Linked DNA regions of Neurospora crassa OR74A. The protein of the gene in region 1 interacts with the protein of each later gene in a pairwise test. Links are inferred from orthologs where the notes say so. Each region holds a gene or a part of one and is shown on either strand. Other genes may lie near its edges. The genes, in order: rpn-1 and NCU04274.

What was found.
Region 2: the proteins of rpn-1 (region 1) and NCU04274 interact in binary tests that used the Schizosaccharomyces pombe proteins (3 or more experiments, as listed by UniProt). The link is inferred for Neurospora crassa OR74A from reciprocal best matches to the Schizosaccharomyces pombe genes mts4 and cut8.

The regions. Positions count from the first base shown.
Region 1 is NC_026504.1:2,086,460-2,090,700, forward strand, and holds the start of rpn-1 (26S proteasome regulatory subunit rpn1), read left to right. Parts: upstream 1-1,441; 5' UTR 1,442-1,824; coding exon 1,825-1,954; intron 1,955-2,026; coding exon 2,027-2,097; intron 2,098-2,163; coding exon 2,164-4,241. Other genes in the region: rbg-40 (serine/threonine-protein kinase RIO2), read right to left, coding at 1-981. UniProt on the Schizosaccharomyces pombe protein: Acts as a regulatory subunit of the 26 proteasome which is involved in the ATP-dependent degradation of ubiquitinated proteins.
Region 2 is NC_026505.1:5,458,746-5,465,916, forward strand, and holds NCU04274 (nuclear envelope protein Cut8), read left to right. Parts: upstream 1-2,925; 5' UTR 2,926-3,538; coding exon 3,539-3,617; intron 3,618-3,716; coding exon 3,717-4,552; 3' UTR 4,553-5,204; downstream 5,205-7,171. Other genes in the region: NCU04273 (RNA-binding protein), read right to left, coding at 1-561; double strand break repair protein mus-11, read left to right, coding at 5,677-5,843, 5,932-6,608, 6,660-7,171. UniProt on the Schizosaccharomyces pombe protein: Together with nucleoporin alm1, tethers the proteasome to the nuclear envelope. Involved in ubiquitin-mediated protein degradation and facilitates the degradation of nuclear proteins like mitotic cyclin and cut2. Required for normal progression of anaphase.

The DNA.
Region 1 (4,241 bases):
CACAGTGGCGTCCAACCGCTTAGCTCCATCCTTGCCAACCGTCTTCTTAGCATCCTTGAAGAAAGGACCGGGTTGTGTGGGCACAAAGTGGAAGCGCTTCTTGAAGAACCTCTTGATGCATTCGACATCGCGGTCAAAGTACATCTCGGCGTTTACGTGGTCCATAGACACCATTTGTGGGAAGTCGATAATGACTGGGACAAGGGTTACCGTCTCCGTCTCCTTCTCCTCGCCGTCCTCGATCGTGTACTTGGTGGTCCGCTCCTCTTTGATCAAAATGTTGAACTCGTTGAAATCACCATGGATGAGCCCGTGCTTGGCCAATCGAAGGATGAGGTCGATAAGCTCAGCGTAGAGGCTCGCGGGGTCTGGAACCGAGGAGACCTGTCTAAGTGGTAGGGACTCGACCAGGCTCATGACGATAGTGTGTCGGGACTGGGAAATCGGTTCGGGAACGGGAAAGCCTTCTTCTTGGAGAGCCTGCATGAAGGCATATTCCTTCATGGCCGCAAGCCGCGAGAGATACATCCATGAGCCGCCTTGCCGGTTGCGCAAGTAGTCGCGGTTGGACTTGACGGTACGGAAGGAAATGCGGCCTAGGCGATGGATCTTGAGAATCTTCTGCTTGCCGGTCTTGTCGGCTACGATCATGATGTCGGATTCCTTGCCAACACCCACACGACTGCCAACGCTGTAGACGACATCTTTCGAGGAGTGGGTGTGTAGGGCCAGATAGTCAAGACCGCCGTAGGTCAGTCGGTAGCCGTCGTACTTGGCCTCCTTCATGCGTCCGATGAGGCCAGACTTGGCAAGGGTCGCTATGCTCTTGTGAACACCACTGGCACCGCCCTTGAGACGGGCAATTCTCTCGATCAGAGGGGTCGGGACGAGCTCGTGGTTCTTGCTGCCCATCTCAACGGCAGTCAAGACTCTCCAGTCTTCTGCCGTGAGATGGCGTAAAACTCTGGTGTCCAAAAACATGATTGTGTGTTTCTTTTTGGATGTTTTTTGTTTTTTCCCCTCAGGTGATTGTCGGCCTAATTGCTGTGAGAGATTTTCTGATGTTGTATTGATCCAAGAGAGCTATTAGGTTGCTGTCTACGACGCTCTCGTCAAAGTCAAAGTCAAGGTGGGTGAAGCGCAAAGCTGATGTCCAGAATGGAAAGTGGGCGTCCCCCAAATTCCAAATGCACGGTTGCGATAACATCTTCCCGATAAGATAGGGCTGGCCGTGGGCTCCATTCGCTGAGCTGTGCCTGCCCGGTCAAGCGCCAGGTCCAGGCCAGTAGCTTATCTTATCAGAAGCTTGGGGGGAGCGGAATTTGTATCTTCCAGGCTCTGATGACGCCTCGTCCCCACCGAGGCTTCCAGACCCACTTGAGGCGGGCAGCATTGGATCGCAGGGGCGTTCTCAGCCAGACGGGGGAGCTTCAGGCGGCAAGCGAGTCGCGTAACCACCATCGGAGCTCCCTGGCGTTAGTACCGTAACTGCCACTGACCTTTGCTGGCTTTCAGCAACTGAGGTGCTTCTGGGCGAACCTGCAAAAGCTCCAACCTCCAAAACCGTCACCTGAACAACATAACAACCTCCAAACAACCGCAGCCAGCTCATCCACTTTTGATTTTGACATTCTGCTCACGACTGGAGCTCAAGTTCCTGTCGCTCAAGCAAACTCGGTGACAAAACTTGAACATTTCTTGCAGCAGCGAACGCCACCGCCGCGTCCACCTACCCCGGCCAGCCCAACCGACCTTGGTTTCCCCTCCAACTGGACCCATCGGCTCCGCGAATCCTCCCACCTACAACCATCACGGCCAGTAATCATGGCGCAAGAAAGCGACCTGTCCAAGACGGCCGATAAGGGCAAGGGAAAGGCCGTCGATGACGAGAAGAAGCACCAAGATGTCGATGGAAAGACCCCCGCAAACGGAAAGAAGGAGGAGGAACAGAATGGTGGGTTTCTCGGCCACTCCGACCGACTTGAGGTATCGGCGCCGGGCTTCTGCTGACAGCGCTTTGCGTTAGCTTCCGAGGAACTCAGTGAAGAGGATCAGCAGCTCAAGAGCGAGCTTGAGATGCTCGTTGAGCGGCTAACGGTTGGTGCTTCGCAATGACGTGATACAGGCTGAAGACCGGCTTCTCTAACAGTACAATGTCTTCAGGAATCCGATGCGACCCTCTACAAGCCGGCCCTCGAGGCCATGAAGAACTCTATCAAGACATCCACATCCTCCATGACGGCGGTACCGAAGCCGCTCAAGTTCCTGCGCCCGCATTATGAAACCATGACGAAACTCTACGACGAGTGGCCCGCTGGCGATGATAAGTCATCTCTCGCAGATGTTCTATCGGTGATCGGTATGACATACTCGGACGAGGACCGCCAGGATACTCTGAAATACAGACTTCTTTCCCCAACACAGGACATTGGCTCGTGGGGTCATGAGTACGTTCGCCATCTCGCCCTCGAGATTGGCGAGGTCTACGCCAAGCGCATAGCCAATGATGAGCCGACTCAAGAGCTGGTCGATCTTGCCCTGGTTCTGGTGCCGCTCTTCCTCAAGAGCAACGCTGAAGCCGATGCCGTCGATCTGATGAGTGAGCTCGAGATCATCGAGGAGCTTCCCAAGTTTCTCGACGAGAACACCTATTCGAGAGTCTGCCTGTACATGGTCTCCATGGTCAACCTCCTAACCTATCCTGACAACGAGACGTTCCTTCGCGTGGCGCACAGCATCTACAAGAAATACAACCAGCACACCCAAGCCATGGTGCTTGCGATTAGACTCAACGATCTTGGACTCATCGAGAAAGATTTCGAGGCGGCGGACGAGGATCCTGCGCTTCGCAAGCAGCTCGCTTTCCTTATCGCGCGCCAGGGCATTCCATTGGAGTTTGAAAGGAGCAATGATGACGACGAAAAGATCTACGAGTGCCTTTCCAACCAGAAGCTGTCGGAGTATTTCAAGTCGCTCGGGAAGGAACTCAACATCTTGGAGCCAAAAACGACTGAGGATATTTACAAGAGCCACCTCGAAAGCAGCCGTGTTGCTGGTATGACCAACTTTGATTCTGCCCGACACAATCTTGCCGCCGGCTTCGTCAACGCTTTTGTCAATGCCGGCTTTGGGAGTGACAAGATGATGCTCGTTGGTAAAGACAAGGACAGCTGGGTGTGGAAGACCAAGGATGAGGGTATGATGTCTACAGTGGCGTCGCTGGGAACCCTGCTCCTTTGGGACGTCGAGAACGGTCTTGACCACGTCGACAAGTATACTTATCTCGAGGAGGAGCAAATCCAAGCTGGCGCATACCTCGCGATCGGTATCATGAATACTAACGTTAGGACGGACTCCGAGCCCGCGATGGCCCTGTTGGCTGATCCCGACAAGCTTGCGCACAAGAACCCGCTCATCCGCGTAGCTACCATTATGGGTCTCGGACTGGCATACGCAGGGTCCTGCAAGGAGGAGCTTCTCTCGTTCTTGGTCAACATTATCAGCGACCCTGAGGAGAGCATGCAGGTGTCGGCTATGGCTGCCCTGGCCTGCGGTATGATCTTTGTCGGCTCCTCCAATTCCGAAGTCAGCGAGGCCATCGTGACTACCTTGTTGGACGAAGAAAGTGGAAGCCGCCTCAATGACAAATGGTCCAGGTTCCTTGCGCTTGGCTTGGGTCTCCTCTATTTTGGTCGCCAGGAACAGGTGGACGTTATTCTTGAGACGTTGAAGGCGGTTGAGCACCCTATGGCGAAGCCAACTGCTGTTCTTGCTGAGATTTGCGCCTGGGCTGGCACCGGTGCCGTCCTCAAGATTCAGGAGCTCCTTCACATTTGCAACGAGCACATTGAGGATGGAGAGGAGAAGAAGGGCGAGGAGTTGCTTCAGGCCTATGCCGTTCTGGGTATTGGCTTGATTGCCATGGGCGAAGATGTTGGACAGGAAATGGTTCTCCGCCATTTTGGTCACCTTATGCACTACGGCGAAGCTAACATCCGACGAGCGGTGCCGCTGGCTATGGGTCTTATCAGCCCCAGCAACCCTCAAATGAAGGTTTACGACACTCTGTCACGGTACAGCCACGACAATGACAATGAAGTGGCCATCAACGCCATTTTTGCTATGGGTCTCCTGGGTGCCGGTACGAACAACGCTAGACTTGCCCAGCTGCTCCGTCAGCTGGCTAGCTACTATCACAGAGATCAGGAGTCTTTGTTCATGGTCCGTATCGCACAAGGTCT
Region 2 (7,171 bases), on another chromosome or scaffold:
GCCGCCGCTGTTGTCGACGAGCCATTGCTTCAGTTCGCTCTTGGTGACGGTGAAGCGCAGGTTGCCGATCCAGACGCCGTGGGGGGACCGTTCCTTCTTTTCCTTCTTCTTTTTCTTGTCCTTGTCGCCGTCCTTTCCGGTGGCGGTTTCGTTATCCGAGTTGTCGTCGGAGTCATCACCCTTGTCGGAGGAGGGCTTGGTAGGGAGGGTCTTGCCCTTCTTGAGCAGACGCTTGGCTTTCTTGGAGGGAGGCTCGGGGGCGGTGACGTCGATTTCGATTTCGGTGAGCTCGGCCTTGCGCTTCTTGGAAGATTTCTTGGGTTTCTCATCGGAGGAGGCGGCGGCGGCATCGGCATCGGCGGTGGTGTCCATGGTGTCGACAGTCTCGGCGGACTCGGCAGGCTCCTCTGTGGCCTTGCGCTTCTTGGAGGATTTATCCTTCTTCTCCTTCTTTTCTTTCTTAGACTTCTTCTCGGAAACGAAATCGGCGGTGGTGTCCATGGCGTCGACGGGAGCGGAGTCCTGCGCGGAGGCGGTTTCGAGGTCTTTTGTTGCTGCCATTCTGGCTGGCTTTAGCGTATCGATCGAGATGGTGTCAATAGGCAAGGGAAGAAAAGTGTTGGAAATAGCAATAAAATCAAGGGTGTTGATTCCTCGAATTTGCAATGTCTACAGAAGGAGGACAGCCGCGCATGGACGCTGAGATTCCCCAATTGCTGGCAGCACAAGATTTTGGAAAATTTACTTTGCGATAAGCGAAGCGATAAGGAAGGGGTCACTGTTCCTCGCTCCAGTTGCGGGTCCGGAGCTTGGCTTGGTCGGGTCTCCATCGCGCAAAATGCGGGGGAGCGGGCGGGACCTACCTTTCAACCTCCACTTTCGGGTTCTCCACTCATACCCCTCTGAATCTCGTGCCAAATTTGCAAAGAGCCGCCATCTTTTCAGATCTCCCGCCGTCATTTCATGATGGGACTTGCCCTTTGCATGATTGCCCCCTTTTTAATGCGATGTCTATGGGCCCTATCTTATAGTGTCAAACGTGTCTTGCTCCGATGACAGGTCTTGAAGTGCAGCCGTACTTGGGTCGGCAAGGTAGGTACGAGACCAGCGTGCAGAATTTCGGTACTCATCAACTGGAGTATGGTACAGTACACGTACTTTTGTACATTGGTCACAAATGGATGGAATATTTCCCCGACAATGACAGCCCACAGCACCACGCAATGGGCCAAATGTAGCCACGAGCACAAGTCGATGATGCCAATATGCTGACTTGGCCCCTCTTCCACTTGATCAATGCCAGGATGTCCCTTGCCATGAATAATAGCTCACGGTGTAGAGTACCTGTAGTAGACACGTCTGCCAAACTCATCTATATTGAGCAGAGTACTTGTTGGGTTCTTGAAAGACGGTTGGACATATTACTTTGCAGGGAGTCTCTTAAGTCCACATAGCAACCCTGAGCTATACAAAGCTGGACAGTCACTTCCGATGGGAAGCAGAAGCCCCATTCAACTCCAGGTCAGTCACTCCCAATGAAAGGGTATCAGATCCTTCGGAAGTTGTTCCAGAGTGATGGCCATTAAAGTCCCGCAGAATCGAAACGGAAACGACATGAGCGTGTTGCTGACGTTGCTCGAATCAACCCCCCGAAGCTTTGATCTGGATCGAGCGAATCGTCAAGGGAGCTGATCGGGTGGGCAGGTGGGCCACGCGGCCTCAATGTCGGTCCATCATCTCGCCAAGCGCAAGGGCCAGGAACAGAGGCAGCGTTGGCAAACGCCTGTCTAAAACACCCACTGCAGGCCGAGAGGATGCGGAAAAGCCAACAATGGGTTTTCCAAGGTCCTTGGTGCTGGCCGTACCGTGGTTGGTAGCGCTGTACACTGCATACCGTTGACGGCCTGTCGCGGTCGCTTCAACAAAGTCTCATCGTTTTGCGTTTGATGACCGGAAAAGTGGAGGTAATTGGTACCCGAAACCATCTTTTTGGGGCCTCACGTGCCGAGAACCACCGATAGGGCTTGGCGAGATCTGGCGGCCTTGAAAAGAAGAAAAAAAAAAGACCGACAAAAGGTCCTCAAAGACTCCACCGGTCCACGTCGTACGTGTACACTACTTTTTTCCTCGGAAATGTCCTCAGAAGGACACAATTCATTGGCAGCTAGTCTGAACAGACTCTGGAGCTTCTCTCTTACCACATACATACTACTGACGCCTCATTGCTTGGGCTTGCAGGCCGGCTTGTCTTGACCGCTTGAGATCTTTCAAATGGTTCGTCGTCTCGGAGTTTGATGCATGCATGCACTTAAACATTCTGGTAGGGGTCTACGAAGTAGTGTACCAACCACAATCGGTTGTGTCAGGGGACTAGTACTTGATACGGTTAGTGTAGCCAAAGGCCAAACAGCTAATAGCCTCTCCCGGTTAGCCACCATGTTTGGCCACATGGACTCCCTCGACAAAACCGGCCCTGGGCCAGCTGTGGTGAGTGGACCGGTCCATGAAAACCGACATCCACTCTTTTTGTTTTGCCCGTCGCCGCCCTTGCTATGTACTTAGGTAAATGTTCCTTGCAAATGCAAAGGGTCGCTGCTTGCTGGTGGTGCTGGTGCTGGTGCTGCTCCTCCTCCCTTCCGATACACACCACTGGTTGACAGTCCCGACATCACCAATCGGCGTAAAAGCTGCTCAGACCTTGAAGAGGCCCAGCCAACCGTTGTTCCCGCTGGCAGACACTGGCCTCCGCAGGACACCACCTGGACACCACACACATCACACGTTGACTGGTCACTCATCACCACTGCTTGCCAGGACCGGGACGCCAGTGAGAACCAGGGAATGAGCCACTGGGAGGCTCAAGCGAAGGTCAAGCGGATGCGCTCTTGTTGTTGGCCTTGGTTGGTTGCTTTTGGCTTCTCCGCTGGCTGCATTGAGAGGGAGCACCTTTTCCCTCTGCGCATTCCTCCTCCACTCACAGTCCTTCATTCGTCGCAATCCCGTCGCAAATCCGTGCAACGTTCAGTTGTGGTGCAGAGAGAAAAAGGAAAAGGCTCCTCACTTTCGGTCGCTTCTTCAGAGCCAAGAACGTCCAAGTGAAAAAAAAAAAAAAACTCCACCAGCCATTGGCATCGCACTGTGAACTCACTGGAAAAGCAGTCCAAGTACTTACTAGTCTGACTGCGCGGGCCCTGCCTGCCACTCGCAAGAGTTCGCTCCATTCAGTTCTTCTCACTCGCCATCCTGCGCTTCCCTTGACCTGCTTCCACCCTTCCTTTCATTTCTACTAGTCTTTCTTCTCTTCCTTGACTCGCATTTCTGCGTTGCGACTCGCAACACTTGCAACTCAAAAAATTAAAATAAAAGCGAGCGGTCTGACGCCGGCTGCTCCCTCTCACTTTTTTTCCGCCTCAGATCGCCTGGCTTCTTCCACCGCCGTCGACCCGTCATCCATCCACATCGTCGTCGTTCTCCTATTTGCGTCGGCAGCGCCACGCAACGCTATACCGCCAAAACGAGCATTGTTCTCAATCCCACAATGAACGTGCTCCTATCGCCGCAGCCGCCCTTCTTCCCTCACCAACACGAACCCTCTCGCCGCTCGCCGCCTAGAATAAGTAGGTTGTTGCTGCCGATCATTGTATCCCAGCGTGCATCCAGCACTGCTGGTACAAAATCTAAAGTTCACTGCAGGCTTACTAACATCTTTTTGCCAGTGTCGCAACACACCATGGCGTCCAGGAAAAGAAAAGCAGACGACGATGACAACGAAATGTCGATATCGCCGACCGGCTCGCCCGCAATCAACTCGCGGCAGCTCTCGAGGCCATCCAAGAAGGTCAGGGCTGGAATCGAACTTGCAGGACGTCCGCTGCCTCTTCCTCGCCTACTCGAAACTCTGGACAAGTCACAGTTGCGAGCTGTCCTCCAGACGATTTGCGAGCGTCATCCGGGCATTGGACATGAGGTGATGGTGTCTGCACCGCGACCGTCAGTCAACGGAGCCCTCGAGGTTTTGGGCGAATATCAGGACAAGCTACGGGCCGCCATTCCGTTCGGCAACTCGAGTTCCGAATACACCTACTTCCGAGTCAAGCAGCCGCTCATGGCGTTGGTGGATGCTCTCGGCGACTTCACCCCCCAGTTCCTGCCGCCGGTTGAGCAACAGGCGACCGTGTCGTTGGAGTACCTGAACCATGCAACAAAGATCGTTCACGACCTACCCGATTTCGACAGCCAGCAGTATCGCCACCACAAGGACGGAGCGTACGACGAGATATCCAGAGCTTGGGCGTTGGTGATCACGGAAGCGGCCAAGCGCGGAGGAGGCTTCCACCTGCACAACGGAAAGTGGGATCAGGTCCTGGCTAAGCACAACCAGCAGTCTGGAGGAAAGCTAGAGCAGGCCATGAACGCAATGGTCAACGAGGTTGGATGGGTCGGCGCGAACTCGAATGCCCATGGGCAGGGTTCTTCTTCGGACCCCAACTCGATACTCAACCAGCTCATCAACGGCACATATGGCGCACCTGTCCAAGTTGGTCCCTTCTAGAACAGGCGACGGCATGAACATGCAAGTGCGCCATGACTTTGGAATTTATACGGATACTCATGGGACTGGGAGGATAAGCAAAGCGGACATTCAGGTCGATTGCATCATGGTTTCTTTTGTCGTTCACTTTTTCAACATTCAGGGCATTGTTTGGGGCGAATGGGGAAGGATGACATAGACAGGCGTGGGTTACTTGCGGGGATCATTGTTTTCAAGGCGTTGGCGTGTTGGCTTCCTGAATGCTGTTGTTTCTTGCCTTCATTGTTGTCTTTCTGGCCACATCTCACTGGCACAAGATACCTCTTTCCTACCGGCTGTCTCTCGTTCTAGGGGAACGACTTGTTCGTCACTTGCATGTACGCAATCTTTAGCATATTCTTTCCGAGGTCGGAAGTGGAGCATGTGTGTAACCAACCATCACTACCATATTCATTCCACCATAGCCACGCAATTGGTAAAACGAAGTCTCGGATAACACAGTGTGCCTGGCGGGTGATTTGGTGTAGATACCCGTACACCCGCAACATGTCCCGGGTTCATTGGGTGTATCCCGAGGTGAATTTAGCGGTTTGTTGGGATCAATCAAACTCGACTTGCATCTTCATTGATTCTGTGATCCAAGCAAGCCGTTTCCAACAATGAAGTTGGAAGTGTCCGGATAATGACCGGAGTCCAAACGCGAAATCCAGATGATCATATCTGCCCTTGAAGCACCATCTTGTTCACAGAGACCAAAGCAACACTACTGCCTCTCGCAATGAAGTCCCTTGCATATTTGCTCCTACACGGACAGTGGCGGCTCCCTTTAGAACCACGTACAACGAGTTGAGATATGGAATGGCCATCATGGAATGAATTACACTACACTAGATATGGAGGCATGACTAAGCTCGACGGATCGTGAATGGACAACTGAAGTGGAGTTCCCTCCGACTGTGTGACGGGATGACAACCTAGAGAAAGGCCTAAAAGTTGGTGAGGTCACCACCTAGAGGCTAGAGCCCCACCGGTCAGGGGCGGGTGTTAGGCAGACGCCACCAGCGCCCCACGTGATAACGCACTCCGAGCGCGCCTGCCCAATCTACACAGCGCGTCTTGTCGTTCTTGCCTTGATCCATCACTGCATGCTTCGCGACGTTTGCTTTAGGAAAGTCACAAATATTTTTTTTGAAAAAAGAAAAAAAAACTCTCCCCTTCAAGACGTTAATCCCATTCCTTCCTGCTGGGATACCACTGCGAACGACTCGCAAACCACCAGCCTTGAGGCTGCTCTGCTAGACAAGATGCCTGCGTATGTTTACCTCTGCTATCGACGACGTGTGTCAACCGCGTCTCCCGCGGCCTTCCAGTAACCGAGACCCTCATTAACACTTCAACAGAGTCGGCGACCAACACAAACTCATCGCCAACCCGTTCGAGGAGCCACAACGGCGAATCAGCGAATACACAGCCCAAGAGATCGCCACACTACAGAGCCGTCTCGAGAAACAACTAGGACCCGAGTACCTGTCGAGCCGCGCCGGCCCATCAGGCCAAAAAGTCCACTACATCTCGTCAGAAAAATGCATCCAACTTGCGAACGAGGTCTTCGGCTTCAACGGCTGGTCCTCCAGCATCCAGAATATTCAGGTTGATTTTGTCGATGAGCATCCTCAAACGCTGAAAATCAACATGGGCATTTCGGTTATTATGCGAGTCACTCTACGCGACGGAACGTATCACGAGGATCTTGGCTACGGCCATATCGAGAACTGTAAGGGCAAGGCGGCTGCTTTTGAGAAGGCCAAGAAGGAAGCCACGACGGATGCATTGAAGCGCGCGCTGCGCCAATTTGGCAACGTGCTGGGCAACTGTATCTACGACAAGCAATACTTGGCCAAGGTCACCAAGATGAAGGTCGAGCCGACCAAGTTCGCGGAGGACAACCTACATCGGCACTCAGATTTCGTCAAGAAGGAGCCGGTTGAGGCAGATATCATGAAGGTTGACTCAGTTGGGGCTGGCGCCCGTCCACCAGCCTTGGGAAACGAGGAGTCTTTTGAGGATTTGCTCGGAGGTAAGGCCACTTGTGCACTATTTTTGGGTGGGCTCGGCTGATGATGACTAGAACTCGATGAGGCCGATTTCAACATGGCCGATGAGGGCCATCCAGATGAAGTCGTGCTACCACAAGCCGTGCACAATAGCTTGAACGACAAGCCTGTACATCAGCAACTGACCAATCTCAACCCACAAGCACAACAATCACGACCTCTGTCGCGGTCAGGGTCAACAGGCAGCCTGAATACCCGGCAGCAACCACAGAATTCCCACCAATTCACGGCGAGGGCCCAAAGTCGGCCTCCACAACAGCAGCTTAACAGCAACCAAAGTCGTCCTATGGGTCAACCGGTCAACAATTCCAGCAACGCAAACACTCCCAACAACCCCCAGAACTACACAACACCACAGAAGCCTGCTCCTGCCGCTCCTGCTCCCCAAGCAGGTGCAGCTGTAGCTCCCGCACCAGAAACCGTTGGCTTCTTCTCCGCTAAAGCTGTGACCCAACTTCCGGAGGAGGCATTGGCTAGTGGCCAAGTCGCGCCGAAACCAGGTCTAGCATTCAACCCTCACGCCGAA